Linked DNA regions of Macaca fascicularis. The protein of the gene in region 6 purifies or fractionates together with the protein of the main gene of each other region. This does not show direct contact. Links are inferred from orthologs where the notes say so. Each region holds a gene or a part of one and is shown on either strand. Other genes may lie near its edges. The genes, in order: CTTNBP2NL, PROSER2, SIKE1, CAB39, SLMAP, STK25 and FGFR1OP2.

Evidence for each region.
Region 1: the proteins of STK25 (region 6) and CTTNBP2NL purify together in Homo sapiens (affinity purification with mass spectrometry; 6 studies listed by BioGRID and IntAct, counting the BioPlex papers as one, with this or other methods). This does not show direct contact. The link is inferred for Macaca fascicularis from reciprocal best matches to the Homo sapiens genes STK25 and CTTNBP2NL.
Region 2: the proteins of STK25 (region 6) and PROSER2 purify together in Homo sapiens (affinity purification with mass spectrometry; 3 studies listed by BioGRID and IntAct, counting the BioPlex papers as one, with this or other methods). This does not show direct contact. The link is inferred for Macaca fascicularis from reciprocal best matches to the Homo sapiens genes STK25 and PROSER2.
Region 3: the proteins of STK25 (region 6) and SIKE1 purify together in Homo sapiens (affinity purification with mass spectrometry; 4 studies listed by BioGRID and IntAct, with this or other methods). This does not show direct contact. The link is inferred for Macaca fascicularis from reciprocal best matches to the Homo sapiens genes STK25 and SIKE1.
Region 4: the proteins of STK25 (region 6) and CAB39 purify together in Homo sapiens (co-immunoprecipitation; 3 studies listed by BioGRID and IntAct, counting the BioPlex papers as one, with this or other methods). This does not show direct contact. The link is inferred for Macaca fascicularis from reciprocal best matches to the Homo sapiens genes STK25 and CAB39.
Region 5: the proteins of STK25 (region 6) and SLMAP purify together in Homo sapiens (affinity purification with mass spectrometry; 5 studies listed by BioGRID and IntAct, with this or other methods). This does not show direct contact. The link is inferred for Macaca fascicularis from reciprocal best matches to the Homo sapiens genes STK25 and SLMAP.
Region 7: the proteins of STK25 (region 6) and FGFR1OP2 purify together in Homo sapiens (affinity purification with mass spectrometry; 5 studies listed by BioGRID and IntAct, with this or other methods). This does not show direct contact. The link is inferred for Macaca fascicularis from reciprocal best matches to the Homo sapiens genes STK25 and FGFR1OP2.

The regions. Positions count from the first base shown.
Region 1 is NC_088375.1:121,941,143-121,944,642, reverse strand, and holds part of CTTNBP2NL (CTTNBP2 N-terminal-like protein), read left to right. Parts: intron 1-1,516; coding exon 1,517-1,747; intron 1,748-3,500. UniProt on the Homo sapiens protein: Regulates lamellipodial actin dynamics in a CTTN-dependent manner. Associates with core striatin-interacting phosphatase and kinase (STRIPAK) complex to form CTTNBP2NL-STRIPAK complexes.
Region 2 is NC_088383.1:12,721,739-12,725,699, reverse strand, and holds the start of PROSER2 (proline and serine-rich protein 2), read right to left. Parts: upstream 2,801-3,961; 5' UTR 2,685-2,800; intron 1-2,684.
Region 3 is NC_088375.1:119,590,416-119,594,703, forward strand, and holds the start of SIKE1 (suppressor of IKBKE 1), read left to right. Parts: upstream 1-1,488; 5' UTR 1,489-1,560; coding exon 1,561-1,731; exon of another isoform or gene 1,732-1,781; intron 1,782-1,952; coding exon 1,953-2,058; intron 2,059-2,882; coding exon 2,883-3,025; intron 3,026-4,288.
Region 4 is NC_088386.1:126,737,656-126,739,970, forward strand, and holds part of CAB39 (calcium-binding protein 39), read left to right. Parts: intron 1-833; coding exon 834-977; intron 978-1,590; coding exon 1,591-1,779; 3' UTR 1,780-2,315. UniProt on the Homo sapiens protein: Component of a complex that binds and activates STK11/LKB1. In the complex, required to stabilize the interaction between CAB39/MO25 (CAB39/MO25alpha or CAB39L/MO25beta) and STK11/LKB1.
Region 5 is NC_088376.1:120,997,491-121,000,990, forward strand, and holds part of SLMAP (sarcolemmal membrane-associated protein), read left to right. Parts: intron 1-1,261; coding exon 1,262-1,396; intron 1,397-3,500. UniProt on the Homo sapiens protein: Associates with the striatin-interacting phosphatase and kinase (STRIPAK) core complex, forming the extended (SIKE1:SLMAP)STRIPAK complex.
Region 6 is NC_088386.1:137,458,475-137,462,432, forward strand, and holds the start of STK25 (serine/threonine-protein kinase 25), read right to left. Parts: upstream 2,459-3,958; coding exon 2,429-2,458; exon of another isoform or gene 2,079-2,428; intron 1-2,078. Other genes in the region: uncharacterized protein, read left to right, coding at 2,457-3,449. UniProt on the Homo sapiens protein: Oxidant stress-activated serine/threonine kinase that may play a role in the response to environmental stress.
Region 7 is NC_088385.1:29,703,033-29,706,532, reverse strand, and holds part of FGFR1OP2 (FGFR1 oncogene partner 2), read right to left. Parts: intron 2,180-3,500; 5' UTR 2,166-2,179; coding exon 2,031-2,165; intron 1-2,030. UniProt on the Homo sapiens protein: May be involved in wound healing pathway.

The DNA.
Region 1 (3,500 bases), on a different chromosome or scaffold from region 6:
CCAGTATACAAATACCATCCAAATACTCCAGTAATGTCATAAAGTAAGATGGCTGTAGTCGAGCCAGAAGTAAAACCCCGAACTTCTAACTGCTTTGAATATTTGCCAGCTAATAACAACATAAAATTTTACCATAAGGCTAAGTGATTCCTGGGGCCTAAATTGAACAGTCAATGAAGAAGTCTTCAGATTTTCAGCACTGAAATACTTCTGTGTTAAAGAAACCCCATGTTTGCTTTATTTTCTTAAAGATTCTTTTAAATTAAAGCATAGCCATTGAATTGCAACCTTCCGTTTCTTTTTAAACAGGCTCCTATTTGTGGATGGCGGTGCTAACATAACTACTGATTAAACAGTTTTTAAAAATGGATAAATAATAGTAGTTTTCATGAATAGATTTAATTTGAAAGCTTAAATTACATAGTACTTTGCTGTAATTTTTTAGTTTCTTCAACCCTGTTAACACTTCATTTTTCATTGCAAAATATCTCAAGAAACTTTTAAATATCTGTGTAATAAGTAAAAAGTAATGTGCGTGTAATATGTGATGCTCATATGAAGTTCTTCAAGGTCTTGCTACAGAGATAAGGAAAGAGGGAAGGAAGCCTAGGAATATCTTTCCACCCACCTCCTGATCCTTATACTTCCAACTGGGTACCCAGGGCTAAAGCCCTTAACCAGACTCCAAGCACCACCTTGCATCCCCTTCTTACATGCACATCCCCAAGGCTCATCAAGCCTTGAAAGAGACAGAAAAGAGAATGGAAAGTAACAACCAAACAGAGACAAGAAGAGGGGGTGGAATTTGGCAGCAGGTGGAAGAGATTTTGTGTGCATTTCTGGTTGTGAGGTGCCTCCATCCTCCTTGACCCATCAACAACTGAGTAATGGTTCATATGTACAGATCACAAGTCATCCTAGATTGTCATGTGATCCTACTTATATTTTGCACACTTTATATATCTGCTGGCATTTTGTTAGGTCTCTAAATATATAAACTCATAAAATTGTCGTGCTTAACATATTTTAGGAATGCTAGTGCCATAACATGGGAAAAAAATAACATGTATCTGCTGGTAATATAAGCATTCATAAGCAGATACAAGCAGAGGCAGTAAGCACAGAGGTTAAGGACACAGATTTTGGAGCCGGGCTGCCTGGGTTTAAATGCCAATTCAGACAACTTGCTAGATGAGTAACCAGGAATAGTTTTCTCATCAGCAAAATCGAGATGATAGCACTACCTTACAGGGTTGTACATTTTAAACGAGTTAATATGACTATAAATATTTAGAACAATGTCTAATACCCAGTGCTTTATAAGTATTTGTTCTTGTTAATATACCATGCCACCTTTCTAATGCTGTTTCTTTAGATGGCTCAATCTGACTTGTAATTAGCAGGTTACATTTATACTAATACCACAACCTTTAATGTATAACCACTGGATAGCAAATACCCCCTTCTCAGTAGTTTTAAAAAACAAGATGCTTATTTTTTTTTTCCTCTTTCCCAGGCCCAACACAGAGATACTTTCATTGAAGAACGCTATGGAAAATATAACATCAGTGATCCTTTAATGGCTCTACAGAGAGATTTTGAAACACTGAAGGAGAAAAATGATGGCGAAAAGCAGCCAGTCTGCACAAACCCACTCTCTATTCTTAAGGTGGTGATGAAGCAGTGCAAGAACATGCAGGAGCGCATGCTGTCCCAGCTGGCTGCCGCTGAGAGCAGGCACCGAAAGGTAGGTTCCCCTCAGTTGATGTGTAAATCTTTGTGAAGTCTTGATAAATTATGCCTGATACTTTCTTGTCAGCTGCCAGTTTTTCACAGTAATTCAATTGGGCATCTCGCGGGTATCAAAAAACCCCTTAGTTTATGTAAGAGTCAGGAGATAGAAAAGAAAACACAGCTTATTCCAAGTGTTAAGTTTAGAGAATGTGCCAGACACATTATTTAAGACGGCATTCCTTCTTGATATATCACTCCAAAACACTTTGTATGTTTTTTCAGTTCTTGATCATTCAAACTTTGGGGTTTGGCCAAGCTTGTAGCTGAAGGGAGTGTTCTCTATTTGCTTACTTAAGAGATAAATAAAAAGATTGACAGGTATTTGAGGCATGCTATATCCAAGGGAGAGAAAGAATTTACCTGAGGATAAACACAGAAGCCAATAGATTATTTTCATTTATTCCTGTTATTCCTAGTTTTGAGTTTCATTGCATTTTGTTGCTCATGAAACCATAAATAGTCCCTAGGTTTATTTACCTTAAAGGTGTTCTACTCTATTAGTGAAGTGTTGTGTGTGTGTTTCCATATTTAACGAGCCCTAAATTAGGAAGACAAACCTTACAGTTATTTACCTTATTTACCTTAAAGCTGTTCTACCCTATTAGAAAAGAGTGTGTGTGTTTCCATATTTAACAAGCCCTACATTAGGAAGACAAACCTTACAGTTATTTACATTACTTACCTTAAAGCTGTTCTACCCTATCAGTAAAGAGTGTGTGTGTGTGTTTCCATTTCTTACAAGCCCTAAGAAGGCAAACCAGTGCTTTCCTCTGCTTCATCTTACTGGAATTCTAGTGCTTGTGAATTTATTCACCAACTTGTCATCTTGTCATTTACTGCTCAAATTTGGCCTGTAAAAGATGCTTGGCTACAATCTTCATTTTTAAAACACTATCAGTTTAGATTTATGCCAACAAGGCAGTTATCAGTGCATTTGGTAGGAAACATTTTCATCTGAAAAACTGGGTTAGCAGCTGCAAAATTTGGTGGACCTTACTTTTCTGGTTACCAGTATTAGAGCCATCTGCTTAAATTGCATCTGATAAATTTTCTAGGCTCTGGGTCTCGCACGTGATCTTTTCTTTCCCTTCACAGACGCCAAATGAAAGGCCAGAGTGGAACTTCTTAACCATGTGGATAGGCCTCAGATGTTCCACAATCCCCCAGAAAATAGAATGTTCAGAGTTTATGTATTTTTGTAGGAAATGTATTTTTTCCATAGCTTTAATTAGATTCTCCAAGTTACCAGTTACCCAAGACCCAAAAAAGTTTTAACCTCTGATTAGAATGAAGTAATCTGAAAACATTTACACTCCAATTTAAAAGGTTATCAATGGGTGGGAGTTAGTTGCCTAAATTTGGGGCGGGGGGCAGCTTTTACATAATCCTCTAAAAAATCTTCACAACATTCTTGTTTAATAGGCAGGCTTTATTTCCACTTCATCCATGAGGTGACTGAGTTGTGTTGAAGCTAGTTGGGCTAGCTTTCATGCCCATGGAAGGTGTACTATGGACAGTTTGTGGCTCTAGGTGATTGGAGAGAGGAAGAAGTTAAAAATAATTCAAAATTTCTTAATACTATATTGCAGTGCTAAATGTTTTAAGTACTAAATTTTTGAAACGAAGTACCAACGTTTTTTTTTTCTTTTTTTGAGATGAAGTCTTACTCTGTCACCTAGGCTGGAATGCAGTGGTGCAGTCTCGGC
Region 2 (3,961 bases), on a different chromosome or scaffold from region 6:
CACCAGACACAAGAGGCCACAGATTCTAAGATTCCACGTGTATAAACATCCAGAAGGGGCAAGTCTACCAAGACAGAAGGAGATCAGTGGTTGCCAGGGGTTGGGAGAGGGGAACGGGAATCGTCTGCTTAATGGGTTTCCTTTTGGAGTGATGAAAAAGTTCTGGAACTCGACAGTGGTGATGATTGCCTAACATTGGGAATGGAATGTACTTAATGCCACTGATTTGTGCCCTTTAAAGTGGTAAATTTTATGTTCTATGTATTTGACTATAATAAAAAAGATAAACAGCATCAAGTCTTCACGGTGCTCGAGTCTCTGGCAGTACCCAGTCTGAAGACACGTTCACGAAGAGCTCTCCCATCCCTGTCCGGCAAGGCAGAATGCTCTCCCCATATGATCCTTTCCTGCCCATCCTGAATGCACAGATTACAAACCCAGCACCAACTTTCTTAAAATACTCTTAGTTTTCAAGATGAATGCTGCCAGTCTAGAAAGGGGACAAGGGCATTATGGACAGGGGCAGCTTCCCTGTGGGTTCCGCAGACAGAGGCTGTTGTTGCCACTGGCTGGACATAACCCGTGCAGAGGGCAGCGCCTCCGTGAACACAGGCTTTCCTATGGTGGCCAGGAGACCCCTCAGAGTGGAGCGGGGATGGCTGCAGTCTATCAGGGGCAGAGTTACCAGGCCCTCTTCTCAGAGCACACAGGCAGCTAGGAAGCCACCAAGTGCAAAGAAAGGTGACACGCGGCGATGGCCTTCACCGTCAAAGGAAAGAGCTCGGGTTCTGGGATGCTCCTAGGATTCCCCTGGCACCTCCCGAATGGCCTCTGTGCCACTGGCAGCTGTCCCACAACACTGCAGATAAGATGCACTTGAACTTCTAGTTCTAGAGGCTCCCCTGTTCTCAGCTCTGCTCTACCCAGGCCCTTCCTCTCTCCCCCTTCAGGTTTCCAGGCTCCACTCCTGGAGTTATCTGAGATGATCTTCCAAATCAACACACAGTGCCAACTCTGGGCGCCTCGGGTGTCTGAGAACTTTGGAACCAAGGCCAGGTATCTCTTCAGCTGCTGATGAAGGCTTGCTTGATCTGGTTTTAATCAGTTTGGGCCATGTGGCTGTTATCTAGAAAAGACTGTATGCTGGATGTCCAGTCACGGCTCTGCGCGCTGTAAGTGGTCAGTCTACAAATATTCCTGAATGAATTAACGAGCAAATCCCACCCCCCCGCGACCCCTCCGTAACCAGAGATTCAAACACGCTCAAACTTTCCTAAAAGCATCGCTCCTCTTCCCAGCTTTCGCTCCACTATCACTCTAATTTTGGATTTCTGATTTCTAGTAATGGAGAAAATATGTTACTTTTAAATCGTCAGCATCTAAAATTTTCAAAGAAAGCTCATCTGAAGTGCTGTTACCAAGGGATATAATCCAATCGCATTAAAATGGCTATTACTAGTCTGGACAAGAAAACACACAAGATTCCATACATACGCTGTCAACTTTGGCAAGAAAGATTTTAGACAACTTCCATCCTTCCCACCCAATCCCAAGTCAATAGGGCATTTGTTTGTATTTCCACATTGGCTTCACGAACGAAAATACCTCCTCCACCTAGAAAAACAACCAGTAAAATTCAGACACAGAACTTGGAGGGCAATCGTTTTAGTGCATGCTGGGACACTTTTATGTAGTGTTTTTTAAAAATAACGTAGAAAAGTATTTTTAATAAAGTTTTCTCCTATGAGCATTTCCCTCAAGTTTCCACGTATGCCTGGTTTGGTCTTTCGATACCTTTCAGAAATACAGATTTTTAAAAAATGATCTCCGTTAAAATTGGAGCCAGAAAGAACCTTCTTCCTACAGATCTGAACGTTTTACTCTGTTTAGGGTGGAAAAAGACACACACAGTCATTTTCCTTCACTCACTTTTAACTTCTCTGCTCTGCACGCACGAGGTTCTGGTAAAGAGTTAAAAGTTTTCTGAGGTTAGTTCCTGCGGTTAAGGGAAAAAAAAAAAAAATACACCAAACAACTAGATGCTTAAATTTAGACTCCGTAAAACAATACTGGGAAACTTTCAAAGCCTTGGAGAAATACTGGAGTTTATTTTATTGCCTTTTGTTCAATTTCATCACACGGGTCACATTTTCTCCTCTATTTTAGTCCCTCCCGCCGGCTGGGTTGGGCAGACCCTGCACATTCCCGCGTGATTCCAGGACCTGGGGGCCCGGGTGGAACAGGTGGCTCCGCCCGCCGCGTCGGACCCGCACCCTCTCCGCGAGGCCGCATGGGGGTCCCACAGCGCAAGGGAGAGCGGTCCCGGGCTGGGGGACAGGCGTCGGGGACAGCGGGGACGCTCTGCGCCCAAGGCTGGGAAACCCGCCTCCACCCCTGCGCCCCCAGGACAGCCCCAGACTCGGAACCCAGCGCGCTCCCCGCCGCGCCCCGACTCAGAGGTCCCCGAGGAGGCAGCGACGCCCCGGGGTCAGGGTTCGGGCACCGGGTGGCCTCTGCGGCAGCGCCGGGCTCCCCCAGTCGGAGCGAGAAGCGCGCAAGGCAGGGTCCGGCGCCCCCTCTCTGCCCGACCCGCCGGCGTCCCAGCCAGACCCCAGTGCCGCCACCGCCGCCAGGACGCCCTCCCGCCGCTCCAGCCGTGCCCGGAGTCCTAGGGCCGCACTCACCTCGCGGGAGAGCCCTACTCCGGGACTCAGGTGTCCACGCCGCCAGCGACCCTGAGCCCTGACGCCGGAGCCCTCACGCCGCCGCCCGTCCGGCGCAGATTGTCCCGGGCCGCCCCGCCGCGCGCTCTCCCCCGTGCGCGCCCACCCGTGCGCGCTCCACCGCGCACCGCGCGCTCGCGCCGCCGGGACTCGCGATCCTCAGGCACGCACTGCGCGCGCCCGCGGCGCTTAAAGGGCCAGGCCCCGCCGCGCTGCAGGACCCCGCGGCCGCCTCCCGGGTGCCCTCGGTCAAGGTGTGAAGTTCGAGTTGGGGGACATCACCGTGAAAATCCCCAACCCCATCGCCGAGCGACCCATGCAGAGAAAAGCAGTGGGGATGTGTGTCTGAAACTTACAAGAGATGGGACATTAATTTAATCTAATTTTTCTTGAGACAGGGTCTTGCTGTGTTGCCCAGGCTGGAGTGCACGTTGTGTGATCTTGGCTCACTGCAACCTCCACCTCCCAAGCTCAAGTGATCCTCCCAGCTCAGCCTCCCAAGTAGCTGGTACCACAGGTGCACGCCACCACACCCAGCTAATTTAAAATTTTTTGGAGAGATGGGTGGGGGTCTCATTATATTGCCCAGGCTGGTCTCGAACTCCTGGGCTCAAGCGATCCTCTCACTTCAGCCTCCCAAAGTGCTGGGATTACAGGCCTGAGCCACTGCACTTGGCCTTTAATTTTTTCTTTTCTTTTTTATTATCATCAGCTTGGAGAGGCTATTTTATACTTAATAATGCTGATGCAATTTATTGCATACCTGTACCCTCAGACACAGCATTTAATGTGCATACACCAAATACATTATTTCATCTAATCCTTAAAATGTTTTTCTGGTTTCTTAACCCCATTTTACAGAGCAGGAAAGCTGAGGTTCAGACAGCTGAAGAAACTCATGGGAGAATTTTTGACCCCATGGCTCATTGCATTTTCTTCTTCAGGCTATCACCGTGGAAATATCTCCCAAGGTTAATAGCTGGTTGCGGAAGGCTTTTGTAAGTTGGTGGAGGTTAATGTTACTGGGTTTAATTCGGTAGGCAGGGAGAAAGCAAGGATTATGGGGTTGTATTAATTGTAGGGTTTGTTACATACTCAAATGGCAAATGTTATAACAATCTAGATTCCCAAAATGTTTGTGTTTACTCCCATTTTACAGAAAACTAAGAAGGAAGTGGTTGCACAGAATGACTGAGTCACTGGCCCCACTCAGGGTTGAGCCCCAATGCCTTAGTCCT
Region 3 (4,288 bases), on a different chromosome or scaffold from region 6:
TTTTGTAACCTTGCCTTTTGGTTTTTGGTTTTTGGCTCTTAACATTGCTTAAGAGGAGTTTTAAGGTTAATGAGTGCCTGCCCACCTCCTTCCCCATCTGGCCTAGAATGTTTAATTGGCTGTAACTCTTTTGACTCTAAGTCGGTTGGCCGCAGGAGTGACATGATGGACTCAGGACAGGTAGCACACCACCCTGGCATTGATATGGGACAAAATTAAAGTTTGGACACTGATACTGTCTCTGGGATACGTTGACAAAAAAAAAAAAAAAAAAGCGGAATGCTGTTTTGAAGGCATGAGTGTAGCCATTCCCCATCTGCGAGCGTTTGATTAGTAAAACTGCTTTCCTTTCATCATCAGTCACTTCTCATGATTTTGGCCTCTAGGCAACAAACAGCCAGACGTGAGCCAGTTGTAATAGCAGCATTATTTACAATAGCAAAAGGCGGAAGCAACCCAACTGTCCAGCGGATGAATGGATAAACAAAACGTGGCATATACATATTATTCAGCCTTAAAAAGGAAGAACATTCTAACATATGCTACTGTGTGGATGAAACTCGTGGACATTACGCTAAGTGAAACAAGGCAGTTATATGAATATAAATGCTGTATGATTTCACTCACGTCAGGTACCCAGAATAGTCAGATTTGTAGAGACAAAGTAGAATGGTGGTTGCCAGGGGCTGGGGATAAGGAAGAATGAGGAGTTATTGTTTAAAGAGTGCAGAACTTCAGTACTGCAAGACGAAGGAGTTCTAGAAATGGATGCTGATGGTGGCTGTATAACCATATGAATATACTACTGAACTGTACACTTAAAAATGGCTGAGATATTAAATTTTATGTGCATTTTGCCACAATTTTTTAAAACTTAAATGAAAGTAGGCCAGGCGCAGTGGTTCACACCAACACTTTGGGAGGCCGAGGCAGGCAGATCACTTGAGGTCAGGAGTTCAAAACCAGCCTGGCCAACATGTGAAACCCCGTTTCTACTAAAAATAGAAAAATTAGCCGGCATGGTGGTGCATGCCTGTAATCCCAGCTACTCGGGAGGCTGAGGCAGGAGAATCGCTTGAACCCTGGAGCCATAGGTTGCAGTGAGCCAAGATCGCGCCACTGCACTGCAGTCTGGGCGACAAGAGCAAGATACCAAGATACCGTCTCAAAAACGAAAAAAAATAAATAAAAATTAAATGAAAATAAAAAGAAAATAACTGTGACTGAATAACAATCCACATCAATGAAAACCAGTGGGGAAAAGAGACCTTCCTTCTGCCCAGCTCATCATGGCCTGACCACCAGGCTGTGGCAACTGGAAACCAAGAGCGTGGTAAGGGCAGGTCTGGGGCTCCGCGTCAGGCAGGACTGCAAGGAAGCCACAGGTAAAAGCGGGTGAACCCGCAAAATAGGGTGCCACTGCGCAGGCGCCTCTTGCGTCTGCCAAGACACCTTTTAAACGTGCCCGGAAGTGACGCCAGTAATGCTGAGACAGACTCCCAGAAGATCTGAGCGAGTCGCGTAGCTGAGCCCGGCAGGGGCTGGGGTTGTGCTGCTGCTATGAGCTGCACCATCGAGAAGATCCTGACAGACGCCAAGACGCTTCTGGAGAGGCTGCGGGAGCACGATGCGGCTGCCGAGTCGCTGGTGGATCAGTCGGCAGCGCTGCACCGGCGGGTAGCCGCTATGCGGGAGGCGGGGACAGCGCTTCCGGACCAGGTCAGGCAGAGGGTAGGAGTCCAGTGCTCTCGGATTCTGGGCACTGAAGGGTGGAGAGCGAGGTAAAGTGGGAACTCGGCCTGAAATTTATTCCCGGTCTCAGAGGGCGGCGGTGAGACCTTTTTCCTGGGTCGGAGCTGAGAATCCTGCCCTAGAGCCCTGACTTCTGCCACTTGAGTTGCATCTGCCGCTGTTCTCTTTAAGGCATGCTTAGACTGTCTCTATTTGTCCAGTATCAAGAGGATGCATCCGATATGAAGGACATGTCCAAATACAAACCTCACATTCTGCTGTCTCAAGAGAACACACAGATTAGAGACTTGCAACAGGAAAACAGAGGTTAGTCAGGCCTTTTCATATCTGGTAATAGTTTAAAGTTACTGCAAAATTGCCCTAAACATTCACAAGGGTGTGCATCTATTTCCAGGTCAGTACTTTTAGTAGGAGAGTCCTCCTGTGCTGGCTCAGTAACAGTAAAGTTTGTTAGATTACCCATTTCAAGGTCATCTGACTGATTTTGTAGCAGCTTACCAAAGAGGGGCTATGTAGAGTTAGAATTATTGCATGGTTTATTTTTAAGCATCTCCAGATGTGTAACAAAAGAGTTCATATCCTCATGGACTTAAAATTTAATGTTTAAATATTAATATAAACACTGAAGGTAAGATTTAAGGTTTTGTTTATGTTCTTGTTTGTGCAAGGTGAAGCAGCAGAATTTTACTCTAAGGGTATATATTCTTAGGCTTGATTAGTACATTATTAATGACTGTAGTATTAATAGTTGTTTACCAGAGGGGTTTCACATATATCATTCTACTGTATTCTCATATCTTCATTTTTATCTATCACAATGCTGTTAAGAAATAGGCTCAGAGAAGCTAAATGATTTACTTATGAGTATTAACCAAGCAAGTTACAGAACTGAACTCAAATCCATGTCTTCTGATGACATATCCGTTGTTGTTACTGCAAGATTTTGCTTCTCTGCCTAGAAAGTTACCTTTAACATAGACTTTAACTGCTCAGTTTTGTGGACTGAAACATTGATTTACAACCTTGGATTCATATTATCTCTATAGTATTGCAAAATTCTAACTGTTAAGACTTTGGATTTGGGAACTGTCTCTCAGACATCACTGCCAAGTTATTTTATTTTTTGACAGAGCTGTGGATTTCCTTGGAGGAACACCAGGATGCTTTGGAGCTCATCATGAGCAAGTACCGGAAACAGATGTTACAGTTAATGGTTGCTAAAAAAGCTGTGGATGCTGAACCAGTCCTGAAAGCTCACCAGTCTCACTCTGCAGTAAGAAACTTCGAATAAATTTGAAATGAACCAAATTGAAATCTTGAGATTGTTTTAGATTGTGTGCTTGTTTTTTTGCTTTTTGAGACAGGGTCTGGCTCTGTCGACCAGGCTGTGGTGTAATGGCACGATCTCAGCTCACTGCAACCTCTGCCTTCTGGGGTCAAGCCATCCTCTCACCTCTGCCTCCTGAGCAGCTGGGACTACAGGTGCACACCACCATGCCCTGTTAATTTTTGTGGGGTTTTTTATTATTATTATTTTTTTTTTTTTTTTGTAGAGATGAGGTTTCGCCATGTTGCCCAGGCTGGTCTGAAACTCCTGGGCTCAAGCGATCAACCCACGTTAGCCTTCCAAAGTGCTGGGATTATAGGCATGAGCCACTGTGACTGGCCATGTGTGCTTGTTTTTGAAGAAAAGTAAGCTTGTTTTCCTTTCATGTTTATCATATTTGTTGTTTATTTTGCCATGGCTTTGTAAAGATATGAATAGAAAGAAGGATAGTGGTTGCTCAGGTCCTTTTATTTGAATGGGACTAACGTTCCCCCTCCCTCACCAAGATCTCTTTTGAAAATGTTCATTAATTCTTAGCCCTCACACCAAACGTAATGTCAGTTAGTGTTGAAGGTGCCCAGTAAATACTTGGTTGGTTATTATACATTTCACTTAAGCTCCTTGGTTGTGAGGCACTTGAATTCACATTTTATTCCTAACATAGTACCTGACATATAGCAAGCAGTCAATAAACCTTTTATAAACTGAACCACATAGCATCATACTATGTTATTAGGGGATAGAAGTATGGTTTTTAAAAAAAACAAACATGGCATAGTTTCTATGCTTTGATTGCTTATTATCTAATTTGGGAGACTCGGTAATTGTTCTTATGTTTGTAGGTGCTTCATGGTTGTCATTGTACATTCGTGTGTACTGTGTCATTTAATTCTAGATGTATAAGTTGGAGCCTACTACTTCTGTGAGATGTAGTGAAATATAAGCTTCATCTTAAATTACATTGAATGCATTTTACTGACTTAAAAGTTTTAGGAAACAGATATTTTAAATATTTGAATGGCTTTCAACTGGAAGAGAAAAATAGATTTTATTTATTCTCATATGGAGGAAAAAACCTGAACTTTGAAAGAGACAGTTTACTCAGATAGATAAACTTTCTAAGTGATATGTCCAAAGATAGAATAAGGCACCTTGGAATGTAGTAAGCTTCCTGCCAGTGAAAGTATTCAAATTTAAGTTAAACAGCCA
Region 4 (2,315 bases), about 11 Mb from region 6:
TGCCTCTGCCCACAAGGTCCGCAGCTTGGGCAGCCCCACTGCTGGCTCTGCACACTCAGCTTTGGCCAGGTTGTTGGCATGTTGACAACCTGAAGAAGTGACTGCTGGTTTTAGGAAAGAGTAAGCAATGACAGTTTAAAAGTTGTGAGTTTACATGATACAACCAACTTTCCAGAAATTAGTAAACCCTGAAGTAAACAGATGTTTTTCAGCGTAATTGGTATAACTAGTGATAATGAGGGTCGGTAAGAAAACCCTGGATCATCTTCAGGAGACTTAAGAAGGAGCAGAAAAATACTCACTTGTGTAAACCTTTCTGAATTAGCTGTGATAAAATGGTACCTGTGGCAAGTGCAGGGTTCATGTATGGAAAACTTGGGACACAAAACCCTTCATCCTGGAAAGTCCCGCTAAATAAAATTTTAAAATAGTTATTTTAAATTAAGCTAAGGTTTGTGGTTAGTTAACAGGAATAATCAATAGCTTTTGACCATTTTCTGAATAGTTTCTAACACAAATGCACGCTTAAAGGGGAGGCTCTGAGAGTCTCCAGCTCAGGGCGGAGGGGACATCTTGAACATCCTCTGCAGAGAGCAGCGTCAGGCCTCCTGTAGATTTCATCTCCTCAGGGAAAGGTAGGAAGGCATTCAGGTGGCAGAGAGAAGGCCCTTGGTAGCTTTTAGTTTGTAATTCAGTTCAGTTCTTCAGTCTTTTGAGTGCCTACTAATATGCTATGCTTAATGATGATTATGAAATAAATTATTTTTTTAAACTTTGATTTTTCCTTAAATTTTAATAACAATGTAAGAGTAATTATTTAAATGTCTTCTCAGCTTCTCGGTGAACTACTACTAGATAGACACAACTTCACAATTATGACAAAATACATCAGTAAACCTGAGAACCTCAAATTAATGATGAACCTGCTGCGAGACAAAAGTCGCAACATCCAGTTTGAGGCCTTTCACGTTTTTAAGGTAGAGTATAGAACCACCAGTGACACTGTCCACTAGAATTGATCGTCGTCTTTCGTTTGCAAATGACGGAAATTATTAGCCTCACTTTGGTAATCCAGGTGACTTAATTAAATTCAGTCACTTTTCATATTTGTGTGCTATGACTTTTAAACAGAAAGGTAGACCTGGAAACAGGGGTTACTATTTGGATTTGGGAACAAGAAAGTTTATTTATAGAGGAGTGTCATTTATCTTTGGCCTAGAAGATTATTAACTGCAAAACAAAAGCATTTCTTAATGCTTGCTGTGGAGGTGTCATTCTTAAAATCCAGTCTGACCTCTTGTGCGGAGAAATAATTTCTGCCCGTTTTATTCTAAAATCAGAGTCTGTATTTAATACTGCACACTGTGTTGCAGGGCTGGCAGAATGAGTTTATCAGTCGTATTAGTGTTAAAACATGTAATTATTTCTCTCAGTTGTAAAATAAGGTCTTCTACAGCAAAACCTAACGACCCTGACTTCAGCGCCACCCCAGGAGAGCGTAGCTCTGTGCTTTCCTGCGCTGTGGCTGCAGCTCAGGGTGGCTGCGTTTTCTTCTTTCTCTGTGCCTCATGTGCATTTCTCCCCATGCAGGTGTTTGTAGCCAATCCTAACAAGACACAGCCCATCCTAGACATCCTCCTCAAGAACCAGACCAAACTCATAGAGTTCCTCAGCAAGTTTCAGAATGACAGGACGGAGGATGAGCAGTTTAACGACGAGAAGACCTATTTAGTTAAACAGATCAGGGATTTGAAGAGACCAGCTCAGCAAGAAGCTTAATCTCCAATAAACATCTATGTTAAATCCAAATTCAGCGTTTGCTGTTAGCTATTCAGCATCAGGCACTCTTACTGATTCATGAGGAACATTACTGCTAATCTGCTGTTAAGTGAACGGTTTTTCATTTTACCCTTTTGTTTTTCAGTCCAGGTTGGAAATCGTAGCTGCTGCTGCTTGCACACTAGGGCACATGTGGGCTTTCTCTTGATCTTTGTGTCATTTCAGAATTCGAAGTACTACGGGAGTTCTGAACATGGCTGGGTTCATGAAGGCAAATGTATGGATGAGAGTGTGGTTTAGGAAAGAGGGCATTGATACCAGATTAGACCTATGTGTTTGCACCCATCTTTGTTGGCGATCTGAGTGCAGTGTGGCAAGTGCACACCTGGCATCCCTGCGTCAGATCGTACCCCTTCGCTGAAGGAAAATGACGCAGAGCTTTATCTGAAATCAGAGGGGAACTGTATCCAAAATGGGAGTTTGGGGGCAGATAAAGTTGACATGCGAATAAATTGATACTGAAACTTAGCAACTTC
Region 5 (3,500 bases), on a different chromosome or scaffold from region 6:
TAAAAATAAAATGTCTACCAGAAACGGATTTTTTTAAATGACTTTTAGTTGATAACCTAAGTTTTTTTTGTTTTGTTTTGTTTTTTGAGATGATGGAGTTTTACTCTTATTGCCCAGGCTAGAGTGCAGTGGTGCAATATCAGCTCACTGCAACCTCCACCTCCCGGGTTCAAGCGATTCTCCAGCCTCAGCCTCCCAAGTAGCTGGGATTACAGGCATGTGCCACCATGCCTGGCTAATTTTGTATTTTTAGTAGAGATGGGGTTTTGCCACGTTGGCCAGGCTAGTCTCGAACTCCTGACCTCAAGTGATCCGCCCACCTTGGCCTCCCAAAGTGCTGGAATTACAGATGTGAGCAACCGTGCACAGCCGATGCCTGTTTTAAGTGGAGAAATAGAAATTTCCCAATCATAGTGGTGGGTACTTCAGATACATTTCTTTGCTTCATCTGCCTAGAAAATTCACTTATCCAGAACACTTTAATACCCAGTAATGCTGGGTAAAGGGAAACCTATAGGGAATTAATACTTTTTACTTCAAGACTGAAATAGTTTGGCTGACACTCCTTACCAGGATATAAACTCAGGCTTCCTAACGTTGGCTATGGAATTTTTCTTCACCTGCTCTTTTGCTCAGTTTGAAATTTTCCTTTTTTCCTATAATTCACTTGGTGGGAAAAGTGATCCTTTATATTAAAAACAGATGACAAAATGGTGATTACTCTTAATTTTTTTTAACTCCAGGGCCAGAAAATTCTTACATAGAATAAAGTCAACATTAAAGACTTCTTTTTTTTTTCTTTTTTTTTTTTTTTGAGATGGAGTCTGCCTCTGTTACCCAGGCTGCAGTGCACAGTGGCACTATCTTGGCTCACTGCAACCTCTGCCTCCCAGGTTCAAGCAATTCTCCTTTCTCAGCCTCCTGAGGAGTAGCTGGGATTACAGGCATGCGCCACCACACCCAGCTAATTTTTGTATTCTTGGTAGAGATGGGATTTCTCCATGTTGGTCAGGCTGATCTCAAACTCCTAACCTCGTGGTCCGCCCACTTTGGCCTGCCAGAGTGCTGGGATTACAGGCGTGAGCCACCGCGCTCAGCCAAAAGACTTCTTATGAGTGCAAGTTATTCCTCCTTAAACAAAAAGACTTGACTTTGGTGTTCCAGGTGACTAAATAGGGTCTGGCATATAAGCCTGACTAGAACCATAACTTCATACCCATTTTAAGTTGAATCTGCACACTTTTTTTTTCTTTGCCTTTAGTATGAAAAGACACAGACTGTACTCTCAGAACTGAAGTTGAAGTTTGAAATGACTGAGCAGGAAAAGCAGTCAATCACAGATGAGCTCAAACAGTGTAAAAACAACCTGAAGCTGCTCCGAGAGAAAGGAAATAATGTAAGTCTTTGCAAACTTGGCTTAGCTTTGATTGAGAGGCACATGAGAGATTGAAATTGATTTTCAAAGGACTTTATCACTGATTTGTGAAGCAAATGGTACAAATGAAGTAGGCTTTTCATTATGAAATTCCATGATAGAATCACTGTGCTGTCAGATTTTTAAGTAAGAATTTGTGCCTTTAACCTATACCCCTAGAAGAGCCTCGGGACTGCCTGGAGGAAGAGTCTTGTTTGCAATAAAGCAGCTTGCCTAAGAACTGTCAGGTTTTCCCAGATGAGTCTGAAGCTCTGTCACTAAGCTATCATCTGGCTCTTATTTCTCCCCTGCTGGGAAATGAAGCACTGTACCACCAGGGATCCATTTAAGACAGAGTAGTATATGTTGTTCTTATACCAATAATGTTCTCACTGAGGCACAGTTTCTAAAAAGCTTAATGTCTCTTTGTCATTATATAAATATTAGAAAATATTTGGTGAGTTTCTGTAGTCCCATGAGAGAGGGAGAGAGATGAACATTTTGGTGTAAATTGAGTTTAATATTTTTTTGTTTTTCATTTGCTAGAAAGACAGATGGTCTTTAAAAAGATACTATACTAAATAAATGTTGTGTTGTACGTTTGGTGATCGTTACCTTTGTGGGCCCTGATAGATGTTTAGTGTGGTTGGTTGTGCTCTGACTTATTTAAAACCACTGTCATGGCTTGGACACTGCAGTGTGCGTGAGCCACATACTTCCTATGGAGGAAGCCACTCTGCTTACCTTGCAGCACAAGTACAAAAGAGTGATGTTGCATGGCCATCCTGTTACTCATTTGCACACAGAATGCTCATGAGTTGCGTCCAACTGTCCTTTGCTAAAGAAAGTCTTAGTTTGTAGATAATAAAGGCTTGCTGCTTAGGTAGAAGTCTTTTAGAAGTTGATGAACTGGGTGTGGAGGCTTTATGCTAAGGAAAATGGTTTGCATTTACTTTTCAAAATGTAGATTACATAACTCTTCTAAAATCAGATCACAGTGGTTTGATTACGTCTTTCTTTTGTGTTAATTCATATCCTTGGGATTTTGGAATTTCAGTCTACTGCTCAATAACCCATGAAGACATCTAGCATAATCAGAATGGATCCCCCCCGTACTATTTAGAACCTTTTCAAAAGTAACTTTGCTATTATTATTTATAGCTACAATTCACCTTAGGGGTGAATTTCCTTTTTTTGTGATATTGCACTTATGGTACTAAAATATCACTCTGTAATAACACTCATTGTAGCAATTTTCTTCCCATTTTAAAAATTATTATAATTATATTCTGGTAACATAATTGAAAGCCCTGAGAGTCAGCTGCCTTTTTTTTCTTTTTTTTTTTTTCTTTTTTTTTTTGGTTTGAGATGGAGTTTCACTCTTGCTGCCCAGGCTGGAGTGCAATGGCATGATCTCAGCTCACCGCAACATCCACCTCCCGGGTTCAAGCGATTCTCCTGCCTCAGCCTCCCGAATAGCTGGGATTACAGCATGCGCCACCACACCTGGCTAATTTTGTATTTTTAGTAGAGATGGGGTTTCTCCATGTTGGTCAGGCTGGGCTCGAACTCCCGACCTCAGGTGATCTGCCCACCTCGGCCTCCCAAAGTGCTGGGATTATAGGCGTGAGCCACCGCATCCAGCCCTGCCTGTCTTTATATATAACCAAACCTTTATTACATGTCAAATGTCTTGCCTGATTTAGGAAGCACGCATTGTCACAGGGCTTTTATTTTTAAGCTTGAAAGCTGTATCATCTAATAAGCAAAAGAGCTTTAGTTGAAAAAAAAAAGATTTTGTTAGAGGCATAAAATAAACTTTAACCATTGCTAAGGGAGTACATTGTCAAATAATGGATTTCAGGTATCGAGCAAAAATAGTGTACTGTCAAGCAGAGAGCATCAGCTGATGGTGAAGTGTTGTCAGTGGTTTGTTTTTTGTTTTTTTGTTTTTTATTTTTTTGGAGACAGGGTCTTGCTCTGTCACCCAGGCTGGAGTGCAGTGGCGTGATCTCACCTCACTGCAGCCTTGACCTTCCCGGCTCAAGCAATCCTCCCACCTCAGCTTCCCAAGTAGCTGGAATTA
Region 6 (3,958 bases):
AGTGCGCCCACACTCCCTCCCCAGTGCGCCCACTCCCTTCCCCAGTGCACCCACACTCCCTCCCCAGTGCGCCCACACTCCCTTCCCCAGTGCGCCCACTCCCTTCCCCAGTGCGCCCACACTCCCTCCCCAGTGCGCCCACACTCCCTTCCCCAGTGTGCCTACTCCCTTCCCCAGTGCACCCACACTCCCTTCCCCAGTGCCCACACTCCCCCCCCAGTGCGCCCACTCCCTTCCCCAGTGCGCCCACTCCCTTCCCCAGTGCACCCACACTCCCTCCCCAGTGCGCCCACACTCCCTTCCCCAGTGTGCCTACTCCCTTCCCCAGTGCGCCCACACTCCCTTCCCCAGTGCGCCCACTCCCTTCCCCAGTGCGCCTACTCCCTTCCCCAGTGCCCACACTCCCTTCCCCAGTGCGCCCACACTCCCTCCCCAGTGCCCACACTCCCTCCCCAGTGCCCACACTCCCTCCCCAGTGCGCCCACACTCCCTTCCCCAGTGCGCCCACTCCCTTCCCAGTGCGCACACTCCCTTCCCCAGTGCGCCTACTCCCTTCCCCAGTGCCCACACTCCCTCCCCAGTACGTCTACTCCCTTCCCCAGTGCCCACACTCCCTTCCCCAGTGCGCCCACACTCCCTTCCCCAGTGCACCCACACTCCCTCCCCAGTGCGCCCACTCCCTTCCCCAGTGCACCCACACTCCCTCCCCAGTGCGCCCACACTCCCTCCCCAGTGCACCCACTCCCTTCCCCAGTGCACCCACTCCCTTCCCCAGTGCGCCCACTCCCTTCCCTGGGTCTGATCGCACCAAGAACCAACAGCACACAGTCACAGGGCACCTCAGAGCTCCAATTTCTCATCCCGTGACCCAAAGGAGCTATTTCTGCAGTTCTTAAAAATAAACTGGTGGCCGGGCACGGTGTCTCACGCCTGTAATCCCAGCACTTTGGGAGGCCACGGCAAGCAGATCACCTGAGGTCAGGAGTTTGAGACCAGCTTGACCAACATGGTGAAACTCCGTCTCTACTAAAAATACAAAATTAGCTGGGCGTGATGGCACACGCCTGTAATCCCAGCTACTCGTGAGGCCAAGACAGGAGAATGGCTTGTACCTGGGAGGCAGAGGTTGCAGTGAGCTGAGATTGCGCCATTGCACTCCAGCCTGAGCAACAAAAGTGAAACTCTGTCTCAAAAAAATAAAAAATAAAAATAAAATAAATTGGTGACAGATTTTTCTCCCAGCACCTTAGTCATGTAAGTTACCAGATACAGAAAGTCAAAAATCTGTTAGCTTAATTCAGCATCAGTCAGCAAGCCCCAGTCCCATCTGTGACCGCGCAGGTCCAGGCTGCCTGGCCCAAGAGCTGCACACGGTATTCCGGGTCTCTAGGCTGGTCCAGTTTCCTCCAAAGCAGCCCTGACTCCAGTTCCTGCCCCTATGCGGACAGACGCCCTTCCTGTTCCACTGCACACCCAGCTCTCAGGAATTCAGCACAGAGGAGTGAACAAGGAGGGCCACACATTTTAGCGGCGATTCCAACACCTTAGGCAGAGCCAAGGCATCAAGGAGAGCAAAACCGAACGCTAAGACGTAAAAAAACCCAGCAGCCAGAGTCAAAAAAATGGGGAGAGGTACACAGTGCAAGTCTCCAGGTCCCAGGCTGGCTGTCCCCACCCTCCTTCCCTGGCATGCCCTGTGGCAGCAGCAGCTGGTCCTCATTCCAGACTAAGGGCTCGCTGTAGTGGCTCCCTCCGAGGCTGTCCCACCAGACGCTTCAAGGTGGCTCCATAGTGGAACCGACTTCTTCAAAGAGGAATGACGAGCCTCCTGTTCGGGCAACCGCCCGTAGCAGGGGTTAAACGGTTCTGAACAGAGCAGCCTTTTCACCTTCCCCTGGGCCAAAGCACACACGCGTTTTCCGCTTTCCCTGCACACCGGCCGCTCAGATCGGCTTCTCCACGTTCCCAGCCCCTCAGCGCCCATCAGGGTCTCCTCTACGGCCCCCGCCCAGCCCAACACGGCCAGAACGGCCGGAACGACCCGTGGCCCGGGCTCAGGCCGCAGTGTGGCCCCTGACCTTCCACTGCCTTCAGATGCCGACACGAGGTTCCCGCCCCGCGCTGGGGGCAGCGTCCTGTCCCGGAGCCGGTGTCTCTTCACGCACCTCCGCCGCCCTCGCACAGGCGGAGCCACCCGGGGCTCGGTGTCAAGAGGTCTGCGAGCTCCTACCACGCAAAACGCCACAAGCACACGGCAGAGCCCGGGGGCCGCCCTGCGCCCACCTCAGGACGGCTCCGCTGGTCGCACGACGCGCGCTCCTTCCCTCACCCACCGCCCGCTCCGGCGAGGCGCCCCTCGGAGCCCCCGGGAAGCTCTGGCGCCCCTCGCTGAGAGGCCGCTAGTCTTCCTGAACTGCACCCTCCTCACCTGGTTGGCAAATCCCCGGAGGTGAGCCATGGCCGGGCCGCCTCGGACCCTCCGCCGACAGCCCCGAGAGGCGTCTGGATCCCGCGGAGAGGCGTGGAGCCGGCTCGCTCGCCCCTGCGGCGTCAGTCCACTGCGAGGGACAGCAGGAGCGGTCGGCGCCCAGTTCAGTCATCTGAGACCGAGCTCCGGGGCGGCGGGCTGGAGGGGGGCCCCAGGAGACCCCCAGGCCATCGGGGCCCCGCCACGCCCGGGCCTACAGCCCAGGCTCCCGGGGACTCGCCGCCCCTCCCGTCCCCGCCCCCACCTCTTCCGAGGCAGCTTCCTCCCGGTGCCCCCGCCCCGGAGTCCCCGCCACCGAGCCCCGCCCCGGGCCCCTCCCTCCGCCCCCTCCCCAATCGCCGCTAACGCGCGCCCGGCAGCGCGCCCACCTCCGCGGGGCTCCATCCCGGCCTCCCCCGGCCCGCTCTGCAGCGCCCGCGAAGGCTCCCACCCGCAGCCTCTGTTCGCCCGGGGACCCCGGGCCTCCCAGCCCGCGAAGCAACGGCGGTGGCGGCAGCGACAGGAGAAAGCCCGGAGGAGGCGACGGCGAGGGCGGTATTCGGCGTCGCGGCCCGCGCACGGCTCTCTGGGACCCCGAGTCCCACCGCCCATTCCGGGCCCGGAAGCCTGCTGGCGTTGGACTACAAGTCCCGGCAGGCCGCGAGAGAGGGGCGGGGCTCACATGCGCCCCGCGAGGCTCTCTGGGACCCCGAGTCCCACCGCCCATTCCGGGCCCGGAAGTCTGCTGGCGTTGCACTACAAGTCCCGGCAGGCCGCGAGAGAGGGGCGGGGCTCACATGCGCGCCGCGAGGCTCTCTGGGACCCCGAGTTCGGCTCCCGAAAGGCTTGGACTGCGTCTCCCAGCAGGGCGCGCGGCGGGGCGGGCGGGGCACGTGGTCGTTGTCGCGTCGCGTCTTCCGTGCCTCGCCCTCGCTGGCCTTCTGCGTCTGCTGGCGCCTGCAGGGCGTCGTCTCCGACGTGACGGCGGCCGCGCGGCGTTTCCCTTGGGCTCTGCCCTGCGCAGCCCTGGTCCGAGCTGGCCAGTAAGGCCCCGCGCCCTCCCCGCCTCGCCCCGAGGATCCACCGCGGCCGCCCAGGCTGTTGGCCTTGTCCTCACGGCTCGGAGATAAGCCGGCGCTGGTCACACCGCGAAACCCCTGTTCGCACCGAGACCCCGCTCGGGATCATGCGCACAGGCCAGGGCGCAGCAAGCCTTGGAGAAGCTACCTGCACAGCCCATTCCTTGCGCGACCTTCGCATCTTCTGCCTCAGTTTCCTTACCTGTAAAGGGGTGATCATAGGACATCCTTGGTCACACCTTTGTGGGACCCACCTGGGCTAGAGCGCGGTACCCGCCCAGGACAGTGACTGCTGCTGGAAACCGTCGTGGCACTGGGGTCACCTCCCCAAGGTCAGGGAGGGACTTGCAGAGCCCAAGGCTACCTGGTGCGCCCCCCTGCCCCGTGGGCCGCCAGGTCATAGTGCCCCCTG
Region 7 (3,500 bases), on a different chromosome or scaffold from region 6:
AATGGCCAATAAGCACATGACAAGATGTTTAATTAAAATAACTAGTCATTAGGAGAATGCAATTCAATATATCCCACTAGGATGATTATAATGAAAAAGACAATAACAATTGTTGGAGAGGATGTGAAGAAATTGCATGCAACCTTCCATACATTGTTGATGGAATGTAAAATGATGTAGCTCAGAGGTGTCCAATCTTTTGGCTTCCCTGGGCACACTGGAAGAAGAATTGTCAGGCCGCACATAAAATACACTAACACTAACGATAGCTGATGACCTTTTTTTAAAAAAAAAAAAAATCTCATAATGTTTTAAGAAAGTTTGCAAATTTGTATTGGGCTGCATTCAAAGCCATCCTGGACCATATGCAGCCAGCAAGTCACAAGTCGGACAAGCTTGGTGTAGCTGCTTTGGGAAACAACGTGCCAGATCCTCAAAAAATTTAAGAGAGTTATTACGTGACCCATCCATTCTACTTCTACATATATACCCAAGAAAACTGAAAACATATGTCCACACAGAAACGTGTACACAAATATTCATAGTAGCATATATTCTTACCAGCCAAAAAAGTAAAATAATCCAAATGCCTATCAAACGACGAATGGATAAGCACAATGTGCTGTATCCTTACAATGCAATATTATTTGGTAATAAACAGGAATGAAGTACGGATAACATGCTACAACATAGATGAACCTTAAAAACATTATGTTAAGAAGCCAATCACAAAAAGCTGCATATTTTATCATTTCATTCATATAAAATGTCCAGAATAGGCAAATCCATACAGACAGAAATATTAGTGGTTGCCAGAGACTGAGGAAAGGGGAAACTAGAGAGAGACCACTGATGGATGTAAGGTTTTGTGGTGATGAAAATGTTCTGGAATCAGATAGTGGTTATACTGTATAACCTGCAAGTGTGTACTAAAATCCAATGAACTGTACCCTTCAAAAAAGTAAATTTTATGGTATGTGAATATCTTAATAATAATAATAGCACATGTACAAAAGAAATGCAGAAAGACTTTCCATTAAGAAAATGAGAATCTTATTTTACAATTGCACTAATTTATTTTCAAGGCATTCTCACGAGACACTTAGTAATATATTCATTATAACACTCCTGGTTCTTAACTTCAGATGTGAAACTCCCTTTTTAACAACTCAATACCAGATATATGTTCACTGAAGTGCCTGAGTCTAGCTGGACAGTTGGTTAGGGATGCAGGTAATCTGTTTAGGGCAACACAGTTGTAAAACCAAATAACTAAACTTGCTCCACTATTTCCAGTAGCTTTGTTAAAAATACTATCCCAGAATTGCTTCCTTTTACAAAACAGATGAGGAGAGTTAGCCGTGAATATACATTCTCCCCCTCTGATTTCCATCATAATGTCAAAGATTTTATAATTTTCTTAAATGACTTGAAAATTTTTACCAGAAGGTTAAAATAGTGTCTAAACTCCGTGGCCCATGGGAATATTCTGTTACACAACAGTAAAAATAGCAAGAAGAAAGCCCTTTTTATGTATTCTTTAATTGGTAGCATTGAATGAAAAATAAGGCAGCAAGTATGGGTATAATAACTGCACAGAGTGTAAATCACATATTACCTTGCATCATTTTCAAAAGCTATTTTGTTGTTAAACAGCATCACCTTAAGTACTTTTATAAAGAAAAATATGAACATTTCCACATTATACAAGACAGAACAAAATGTGTACCAACATTAGTAAAAGGTATTATCTGGTCTTTGTCAAATGTTTCTAGATCTAACAAATTCATTTATTTTCTAAACTCAAATGCGCAACTTTGTCAGCAAAATAAGTGATCAAATCTAGGGTTTAGAAATATATGTCCATGTATGTCACCTGAACACGACAAAATTAAAGTAAATCTGAAATACACAGGTCAAACTACTTTAAAATTTTAGAGAATGTTGAAAAAATTAGATACTAATTAGCCAGCAATACATAAATGTCAATGACTGCTTTCGATAAATGGAATGAACAAGAAAAATCAAACCTGTTTCATGGCTTCTACTCGCTTGTTGAGAGCTGTGGTTTGCTCAATCAGAGATTCTGCGGCATCGTCATGATCTCTTAATCTTTCAACAAGAGCTTTAGCATCAGCAAGTGCCTTCTCAATTGTGCAACTCATTTCTAAAGATATATCTATAATTAAAATTAAAATCAAGACTCAAAGTCAACATATCTATTTTAGTTTCAGGTCAACACAGATATGCTTCTTAAGACACATTTGTTACAGTATTGTTCACTGTCCAGGGAGGAAAAAACACCTAAGAACACTGTGGTTTTGCTTCTGTTAGGATGGTACAAACTTGAAAGTAAATTTACACTGCTACAAAAAAATTAGAACACAGTTAAAAGATTTACAGATGGAACTAGAGTGTATTTAAAACACTCAGAACTGACAGTGGGGAAAAAAGTACATTTCCAGTGAATATAACGTTATACAGAAATTTGCCCTTTATGAGGGCATTCCCTATCTTGTCACTTTTGAGAAAGATCATTTGGTTCGTTGTTCTGTATTCTGGGGTCAATGACCATCAGATTTCTGACTGTAAGAATGCTTCCTAACCTCTGCTTGGTCAGGGGACTTGAGACACTGTTCACAAACACTGCTGACCAGCCAAAGTGGCCTCAATGTGTCATGCTACATCAAAGTCTCAACCTCCTCTTGGAAGAACTTTTGCTTCTTACATAAAGTTGCATTGTAATTCTAACGCTTGCGTCTTCCTTAGTAAATTGCAAAAAAAGAGTTTTGACTTAGGACAAAACTGGTAATTACAGGAAACGTCCAATATGTTAAAATCAGTAAGTAATATGTTTAAGAGTAGCTGAAAAAATTATGAGAGAAAACATGAAACAGTCAATTGTCAGCTTCTTCAACTGGTATACAGAAACCTCAAACAAAATTTTAATAATTTTAAACAGTCTCTTTCCAAAACTTAAGTTTCTTCTGAAACTTACCCTCCTTGAAATCTTTTATCTTTCTTTTTTTTCAATTTGAAATAGAGTCTCGCTCTGTTGACCAGGCTGGAGTGCAATGGCATGATCTCAGCTCACTGCAAGCTCTGCCTCCCAGGTTCATGCCATTCTCCTGCCTCAGCCTCCCAAGTAGCTGGGACTACAGGCACCTGCCACCACACCTAGCTAATTTTTTTTTATTTTTAGTAGAGACGGGGTTTCACCATGTTAGCCAGATGGTCTCGATCTCCTGACCTCATGATCTGCCCACCTCGGCCCCCTCAAAGTGCTGGGATTACAGGCGTGAGCCACCATGCCCGGCCGAAATCTTTTCTTTCTACTAAGTTTTACCTAACTTTCAATGCAAGCCATCCTTTCTTCAGAGTTTTCTCAAAAAATAAAATCACACTAAATTACCAGGCCAGAAGCCAGGTTTACAGAAGTTAAATTAAAACTTTGGTGTAGATCCAAGTGAAGGGTTATAAACAAAGATTTTCATTAACTG